Linked DNA regions of Daphnia pulex. The protein of the gene in region 1 interacts with the protein of each later gene in a biochemical or structural test. Links are inferred from orthologs where the notes say so. Each region holds a gene or a part of one and is shown on either strand. Other genes may lie near its edges.

Region 1 (4,093 bases):
CTAGGATAAATGTAAGTGCTGGCATCCGCCACGGACACTTTTGGCTCGACCCGATCCGATCCCAATAATCCCAAAAGCTGAAAAATAGTGACAAAGTTCCTTCTTCCTTCGTGGTTCTCATTGAATGATCTCGGAGGTAGAATTTCGGACTGATCGACTGCCACTGGTTGAAAGTAGACGCTGCAGTATTGCCCATCGAATCCGGGTGCCCGAACGGCCAGACATTCATCGAAAAGTCCATCCGCGTGAATGTTACGTGATCCAAATAACCCCGGTGGAAGCTTGGCTGAAGACTCTTGCACTATTTTTTAAATAAATAATTAATGAATTACACAATGTTTGTCCCAAATTTCGAGATGTGATAATCACTTGTTATCTAATCATCGTTACCAGATGTCATTAGTAAGTGAAAATAAGGTCATTGTTCAATCTCTAGTCACCTTTTGCATCCTTCATTATCAGTTCTTTATACGACAGAGAATATAATAATCAATACAATTCAACCTTTGTAACATGACTAATAGGACAGATCTTCCACACACATCCGCCATGTCATTCAACGATATCGTAAACACGCTATTACAACATTTTTTTAAACACATAGTTCAGTTTTGAATATTATTCCATGATTATTATTAATGCAGCTTCTTTTTCAACTTACTTTGTAAGGCCCATAGACTTTGGTTGGCGTAAAGGTTATGAACGTAATACTGGCTATCTTGTAAACATTGTTGACTAATATTTTTAGCCACCGCCGTTGGGAATGAAGAAGATTTGAGTGCGGCGAAAACGTTGTGAAGTGTTGACGTTAAATCAAAAGTGGACCCACTTTCCTGAAGTTGTTGGCTAATTATATTCCTCCACTTTTCAAAAGATCGTTCACTCTCCGGTGAAATGATTAACGCCGGATTTATGAATTGTTGAGACTGGCCTCCTACCCAAAGTAGAAGAAAGGTAATCTTCCACAGCATGGAACCCATAACGAGTGACTGAAAAGGACAACAGCTCCGAAATTTTTGACTGACGACTAATGAACACGTCCAGAGAATTTATACCCTTAATCAATCTCATCAGTCTCATACAATTGTACTCTTTGGAAGTTGGAACTTTTTATCTTTGGAACAAGTGACAAGGTGGTTTATCTATGCTTTGTGACTATATCCCCTAGATTAAACGTTGCACAATGGTATTTCCGCTTGATCCCAAACCGATCACAATGAAATCAAAAATTAACACACATACCTTATGGTCTAAGTTTCTGGTGCACCGCGTGGTCTACAATGTTTGAAGTGTTGAATTTATTGGTCGAGGCAGAGTCGTTTACAGTAAATTATTCTGATCGAGGTAAATGAAAACGTTTCTTTTTCATTTTATTTCTTTGATAATAGATTTTTAGTGCCATTTACGTCGAGTTCTAATGTAAACAAGAATTTCCTCTGTCGAAAGCAAATGTTATTTTCAAAATCGATCCGGCGACACGGCGTTCGACCCGTTCGTATGTCAAAATGAATGAGCTAATAAAGTTCCGAGGGCCATCTGGTGACGGATGTAAATTTGATTCACCATTGCTTCAAAGATGGAGTTGTAGTCAATAAAATTTCTTTATGAAGATTTTTGTTGACCAACTCAAGTTGACCATATACTCGCCCATTTTCGTTTTCAATTAATTTATTACTCGTGCCGTGCGTGCCCAATGTGTTAATTAAAACGTGCTGAAATATTCCAAGTATGGCCAGCGACATCGACGAATCAGCAGTAAGATTAGATACTGCTGATCCGGAAGAAGTCCAAGTTGCAGGTCCCTCACTTGAACAACGTAACCAAAGAGCAAGTGTTATTGTTGTCCAGCCTTCGTCTACTGAAAACAGAATTGGTACCGTAGAACTGGAAATCACGAATGAAGCTCAAACAGATCAGGATAGTCGTGATAGTTTAGCTGAAAGTAATGGACCATTGTCCCCTATTTTGATCAGAGGCAGGCGACGCAGGCCTAGAGGTATGCTAAAGAATTTTCCTCCCTTTTCTCATTAATAATTTTTATATTTCTCATTCATTAGATGAAGATAATGATGATGAAGAAACTGAAGATGGGGGGCCTCCTTCAAGGAAATCTAAATCAGATTCTGCTGGCGGTTTTCTCCCAGAAAAAGAAGACAAAACTGCTGTAGATGATGAAGAAGATGGACAAGTAAGTCTGTTGCTAAGTGGAGTACTTTTTTTGTGTTATCCTGCATTATTCATATGGTTATAGGTCTGCCCAGTATGTTTTGATGTTTGGAGCAACTCTGGATCCCACAGAGTTGTGTCGTTAAAATGTGGACATTTGTTTGGGCAAGCATGCATAGAACGTTGGGTTCACTCTGGTGGCAAGGGGGCCAGGTGTCCACAGTGTAATGAGTCCGCTCAAAAGAAGGATATTAGGCCTATATATGTTAGAAATTTAAAGGTAACTAAAATTTGTTAAAAACAATTGTTTCCTACTCTAATATCAAAATGGTTGATTTCCAGGCAATAGACACGACAGAAAGAGACAGAGCCTTGTCAGCTCTAGAGCAGGAGAAAGAAAACCGTCGTAGGTTAGAGTTAGAGTATCACAAACTTCAAATTCAAACAACCGCCAAAGAGCAAGATATTTTACGATTGCAACAAGAGTTACAACAATGCCGTGCAGCTTTGTCAGGCGCCTGTTTAGCAGCCAGTGGCCAGGGAGCCGAATTACCTTTAGCGGGGGCAGGTCCTCTATTTGGATCTCAACCTCCTGGAATACTAGGCCGTCGTTTAGTTCTGGATTCGACACTGGAGCTTTGTAAAGAAGGCCAGTGTCGCGTCATGTCTTATAGCGAACATTTAACTCTGCTCGTAGTGTCTTATGCTGGAACAAATTCGCACTTGACGGGCACTGGTATCAAGAAAGTAAACGCACTGGGAGGATTTCGCACTGTCGGTTACATCGCCGTTCACCGAAAGCCCATCCGCGACATGGCCTTCCACCTGGAACAGAACGACCTGCTTCTGACTGTTTCGTTGGACAAGACGGCCAAGCTGGTAAACGTCCACAGTGACATCTCAGTCACTTCGTACCAGTGCGATGCACCTCTTTGGAGTTGCGCATGGAATGCCGACAACAAATACCAATTTTTCGTTGGAACTGGCACTGGCAAGGTTTTACTTTACGATATGCGCAAATCCGGCGATGCAGTTGAGTGCTGGTCAGAGCCCAACAGCATGTCGCCCGTCACTGGACTTGCTTACCTTCCATTCAGGTGAACCTTTTAATGTTTTATGTAATTTTGTTTTTGTTCCTGGATAATTGACTGAATTTGATTTTCTTTTGCTAGTCCGGTGACCACTTTTCCCAGAGGTGGACTCTTTGTTCAGCGTTTGCAGTCGTGTGTCTTCCACGAGTCACGGACAGACGGCTTTGTTCCACATACACTGCCTTTGGATGGGTCCTTCACATCGCTTTGCATTGAGCCAGAGACGCGCCATTTTCTGGCCTCGTCTAGGCCCAGCACCGCTCATCCCCAAGTAATAATTCACATTCGTTCTTGACATTTCAATTAGAATCTGGCGGTAATAAGGGTCATCCATTTAGGCTCGCCATACCGTCTGTGCTCCTTCTTGGACTCCATTGGGTAGCGATTCGTCCACCGGCCTTTGCAGTAGTCACGCTATTACGACCATCCAAGCTGGATCACAGCAGAAGTTGCTCTCCCGTTCGTGCCTCCTTACTGCCCCGGGCTCCACTGAAGGTAAATTATTGATTATTTCACGCCTGAATTGACCCACAAATTAATTTTTGTTTTAATTATTTGCATCAGGCAAGCAGCTAATGGTGGCTGCCCATCAAGAGGCCGCCCAGTGTATTTCGCTATGGGACGTCAATTCATCGGCAGTGCTTCAAAAGCTGCCCTGTTCAGATCCCGTTTTGGATCTCCTCCCTATCCGCGTCAATGGCGTCCATTTCGTTGCTGCATTGTCGGAAAAGAATGCCCGTTTCTACAAGTGGACATAAACCAGGAATATTTCACTTTTTCAGTAATTATTATTACCACTATGGTCATTTCTATACCAAAACTCTGAGATTTTGTAC
Region 2 (3,506 bases), on another chromosome or scaffold:
CTACAAACAAATTTATATTATTAAATGAAAACATAATACGTAAAATATAATAAATAACCGCTTGTCCCATGATTTCGGCTTTGATGATTTTTGCTCCGAGAGCATTTAATTCCTGTTCAGTCCATATTTTGTCATCTTCTTGTGGTGGCTGTGTATCCTGTTTTTCTTCTTCACTTTCTGAAGACGACGAAGAAGTCGATGAATCCACTGGGTTGCTTGATTTGGCTTCATTTTTCTTCCATCCTGGTTGCGAAGAATAAAACCGTTTGTTTGTATGGGAAACAACTTCGTCACTCTCACTTGGTCTTCTGAATCTTTCTTGAACGGTTGATGATTTTCTAATGTTTTCTGGATGTTTTCGCTCTCGGGATCTTGATCTATCTCTGCTACTAACATGTGTGGAATCTCTATCTGAGGTTCTTTGTTTTTTTCTTTCTGAAGGATTGGAAGATACTGCATGACTATTAGGACTATCATGCCTTTTTGAGGATTCTGCTTCAGTTCTTTCAGGTGGCAAACCAGTTCCTCCATTTTTCCAGTATGGATTTAATTCTCTACTTGACTGCCCTGGTTTTTCCATCATGGTCTTTCTTGCAATTTCTTCATTCTTGTTCAGGGATGTTCGTTTGGGAGGCATGCTACTGTTACTGAAAATTGGAAGCAAAGAAGGCACACTCATCCATTCATCTCTCTCAAGAGGAGCAGATGAAGCGGGTTCTGTTGTTTCAGATGTTTTCTCTACCCATTCATCAGAATCAGAGGAATTGTCTTTTTTCTTGCTTTTTTTATGTTTCTTATCCTTTTTATGTTTTTTTTCTTTTTTACTTTTTTTGGATTTACCGGACAATTGAGCATCCAACTCAGGCAGCATCCATTTGTCTTCACCATTTAATTTGGCCAATTCTTTTTTAGCTTTCCTTTTCTCATAATCTCTTTCTGCCTAAAACAAAAGAAAAATAAACTAAACCAAATGTATACCAGTAAAATACTATTAAATCAAATTGGTGAAATGTGATGGTGTATTACCTTCGCAAGAATTGCCTCTCTCGCTTCTCGTTTCATTTGTCTCATTTCATCTAAGTCTTTAGAATTTTCAAAATTTATCGACATTTCAAAGGATTATTTCTATGGGCTAAAACTTGAAAAAGAAAACTAGAAAAGCAACACAAATTATTTTCAATCAAATTTACAAAAACGAAAACATTCGTTTTGACGTCTGTCGTTTTGAAGCGAAAACAAGCATTGCCAATTTGTTCAACCAGAGTCATCCGGTTCAACTTTTAATTTTTTTTACAAGCATATAATAAATTTTAAAAACGTTAATAAAAACGTTAATTAAAATTATCAATTGTAGTAAAAATTGTAAAAAGATGCCATTTAATTCAATATTGATATCAAATGTTTCCAACTCGTCAACATCGGATTGCGAAAACTAGTTTTCCCGCCATCTATAAAGAAAAGAAAACAGTGGATAGACGCAGTACAAGTTACAACGTCTGCATACCTGATTGAAGTGATTCACGTGCATTACGTTTTGTTTTGAGAACGACAAATTTAAACGAATAATTGAATTAATCTATAATGTGGGATCAATCAGCAAGTAATAAATACAATTTTGTCAAGCTTTGTGTTATTAACTTTACATTCTTTCCATTACAGGCGATTTTGGAAATGGAACAATGGCCGGTGGTTTCTTTAATGCTGGAACTCCAGGAGGCACAGTTAATACTCCTGGAGAAAAGAAGGTTTGAAGACATTTTTAATATCTCATAGACATTTTCTCATGTTTGTTTCATTCACAGGGTGGAGCTCAACGGGCTCATAATATCATTCCAGTTAATATCAAAGATATATTGGATGAAATTGATGAAAAACTAAAGATAGAAGATACTGAAGCCCACATGGTATCCATATTTATCTTCACTTTGAGTTACATTTACTTATGATTTACAACTTATCTCTTTTAGGTTACATTTGTAGGTACTGTCGAACAGATTGAATCCAAACAGACTAATGTTTCGTACACTGTAAGGGATGATACAGGTTCTATTGAAGTTGTTCAGTGGATTGAGGGTGAAGGGGTATGTATTGTGTTCTGCATATGTTTTCACTCATTATTTATTCCAATTTATTTTTGCAGAATGTCCAATCACCTTTTCAAGTTGTGGAAGGGAATTTTTGTCGAGTTGTTGGATCTATTAGACAGACACAGGATCGCCGTCACGTAATGGCATTTCGTGTTGCGAAACTAACAACTGCTAACGAAATAACAACCCACTTGCTAGAGACGCAATGGGTTCGTATGAAGTTGAGACAGATGAAGAGAAAAATGGTAATGAACAACTCAAATGAATGCTTGAACAAAGGTAAATGATTTTTATTTATAAAGGGAGAAGGAACAGGACAATCAATGAATAACTCAGTGATGGGTGGTGGAATGACTGGGCCTTTAGCTTCTTCATCCTCAGCTACTTCCAATGTGGCAAACGGTATCATGTCAGGACTGTCATCTTTTCAATCTATGGTTTATACCATCATTCAGGTAGATTCATTTGTCATCTATGTGATCAAATTCAAACAATAAAAAACCATGTTATTTTTAGGCAACAACAGCGGAAACCGGCATGGAAAAGTCGCAGATCTACAATTCTGTCAGAGGAAGAATGATCCCACGTGATGTAGAGTAAGTGTATTGATGTGGAAGACAAACATGTTTTCATTGATTTTAATTTAAATTTTTTATTAGTGCTGCTTTGGAATTCCTTTGTTCTGAGGGACATATTTACTCTACGGTGGACGAAGACCATTTCAAATCGACCGATAGCTAAACAAGATTAAGATGTACTGTACCTTCATTCTCATTAAATATCTACTAGAATAGATACATTATACTCAAAACTGTGTCGACTCAGTCTGCGGAATTTATCCTGAAGCTATTAATTCCAACTGTTTTGAAATGGTTCAGTTCTGTCTGTCTTTCAACATAAAAGCTTAAATCGTCTAAAATCCATCGGATCTACATCGGATAATTCATTTTCAGTATATTCAAATATCAGGTACATAATGACCACGGATAACTGGATCATGTCTAATTGCTATGGCAAGTGTTTGTGATGCATTCGAAGTAAAATGTTATTTACATCATAGAATGAAGACGTAAATGTTAGGTATCAGGCAAATTTACTTCTATTATTGGTGATAATCTTCTTGGAAGTTCCCACAGTAATATCCCGTTTCGTTGCCTACGAATAACCGTAGCGCCATCGGTTTCATCACTTGGTTGGAGTGCCGCTTTACTATGATAACATTATTGATTCAAAAATTAAAGCTAAACTCGCTAACATGTAGAAAATGTTTTGCTAAAGTTATCTTACTTTAATAGACGGTTATGATTTACTCGGTAAAGTAACTTGGGATTTAGTTTTGCAGGATCTTGCGGCTCAGACAAAATGCTTCCAATGGTACCAATGATTAAGACGATCACCACGCTCAATACCGTGTACCAC

The links.
Region 2: the proteins of E3 ubiquitin-protein ligase RFWD3-like (region 1) and replication protein A 32 kDa subunit-like form a complex in vitro, tested with the Homo sapiens proteins (3 studies listed by BioGRID, with this or other methods). The link is inferred for Daphnia pulex from reciprocal best matches to the Homo sapiens genes RFWD3 and RPA2.

What each region holds. Positions count from the first base shown.
Region 1 is NC_060027.1:2,170,275-2,174,367, forward strand, and holds the start of E3 ubiquitin-protein ligase RFWD3-like, read left to right. Parts: upstream 1-1,293; 5' UTR 1,294-1,728; coding exon 1,729-1,996; intron 1,997-2,057; coding exon 2,058-2,188; intron 2,189-2,251; coding exon 2,252-2,446; intron 2,447-2,508; coding exon 2,509-3,263; intron 3,264-3,338; coding exon 3,339-3,528; intron 3,529-3,595; coding exon 3,596-3,752; intron 3,753-3,821; coding exon 3,822-4,015; 3' UTR 4,016-4,093. Other genes in the region: nose resistant to fluoxetine protein 6-like, read right to left, coding at 1-301, 662-980. UniProt on the Homo sapiens protein: E3 ubiquitin-protein ligase required for the repair of DNA interstrand cross-links (ICL) in response to DNA damage. Plays a key role in RPA-mediated DNA damage signaling and repair.
Region 2 is NC_060017.1:2,573,451-2,576,956, forward strand, and holds replication protein A 32 kDa subunit-like, read left to right. Parts: upstream 1-1,438; 5' UTR 1,439-1,581; coding exon 1,582-1,600; intron 1,601-1,659; coding exon 1,660-1,745; intron 1,746-1,802; coding exon 1,803-1,904; intron 1,905-1,967; coding exon 1,968-2,081; intron 2,082-2,140; coding exon 2,141-2,332; intron 2,333-2,389; coding exon 2,390-2,542; intron 2,543-2,603; coding exon 2,604-2,683; intron 2,684-2,746; coding exon 2,747-2,828; 3' UTR 2,829-3,006; downstream 3,007-3,506. Other genes in the region: CWF19-like protein 2, read right to left, coding at 59-940, 1,027-1,110; sodium-coupled monocarboxylate transporter 1-like, read right to left, coding at 3,164-3,296, 3,375-3,506. UniProt on the Homo sapiens protein: As part of the heterotrimeric replication protein A complex (RPA/RP-A), binds and stabilizes single-stranded DNA intermediates that form during DNA replication or upon DNA stress.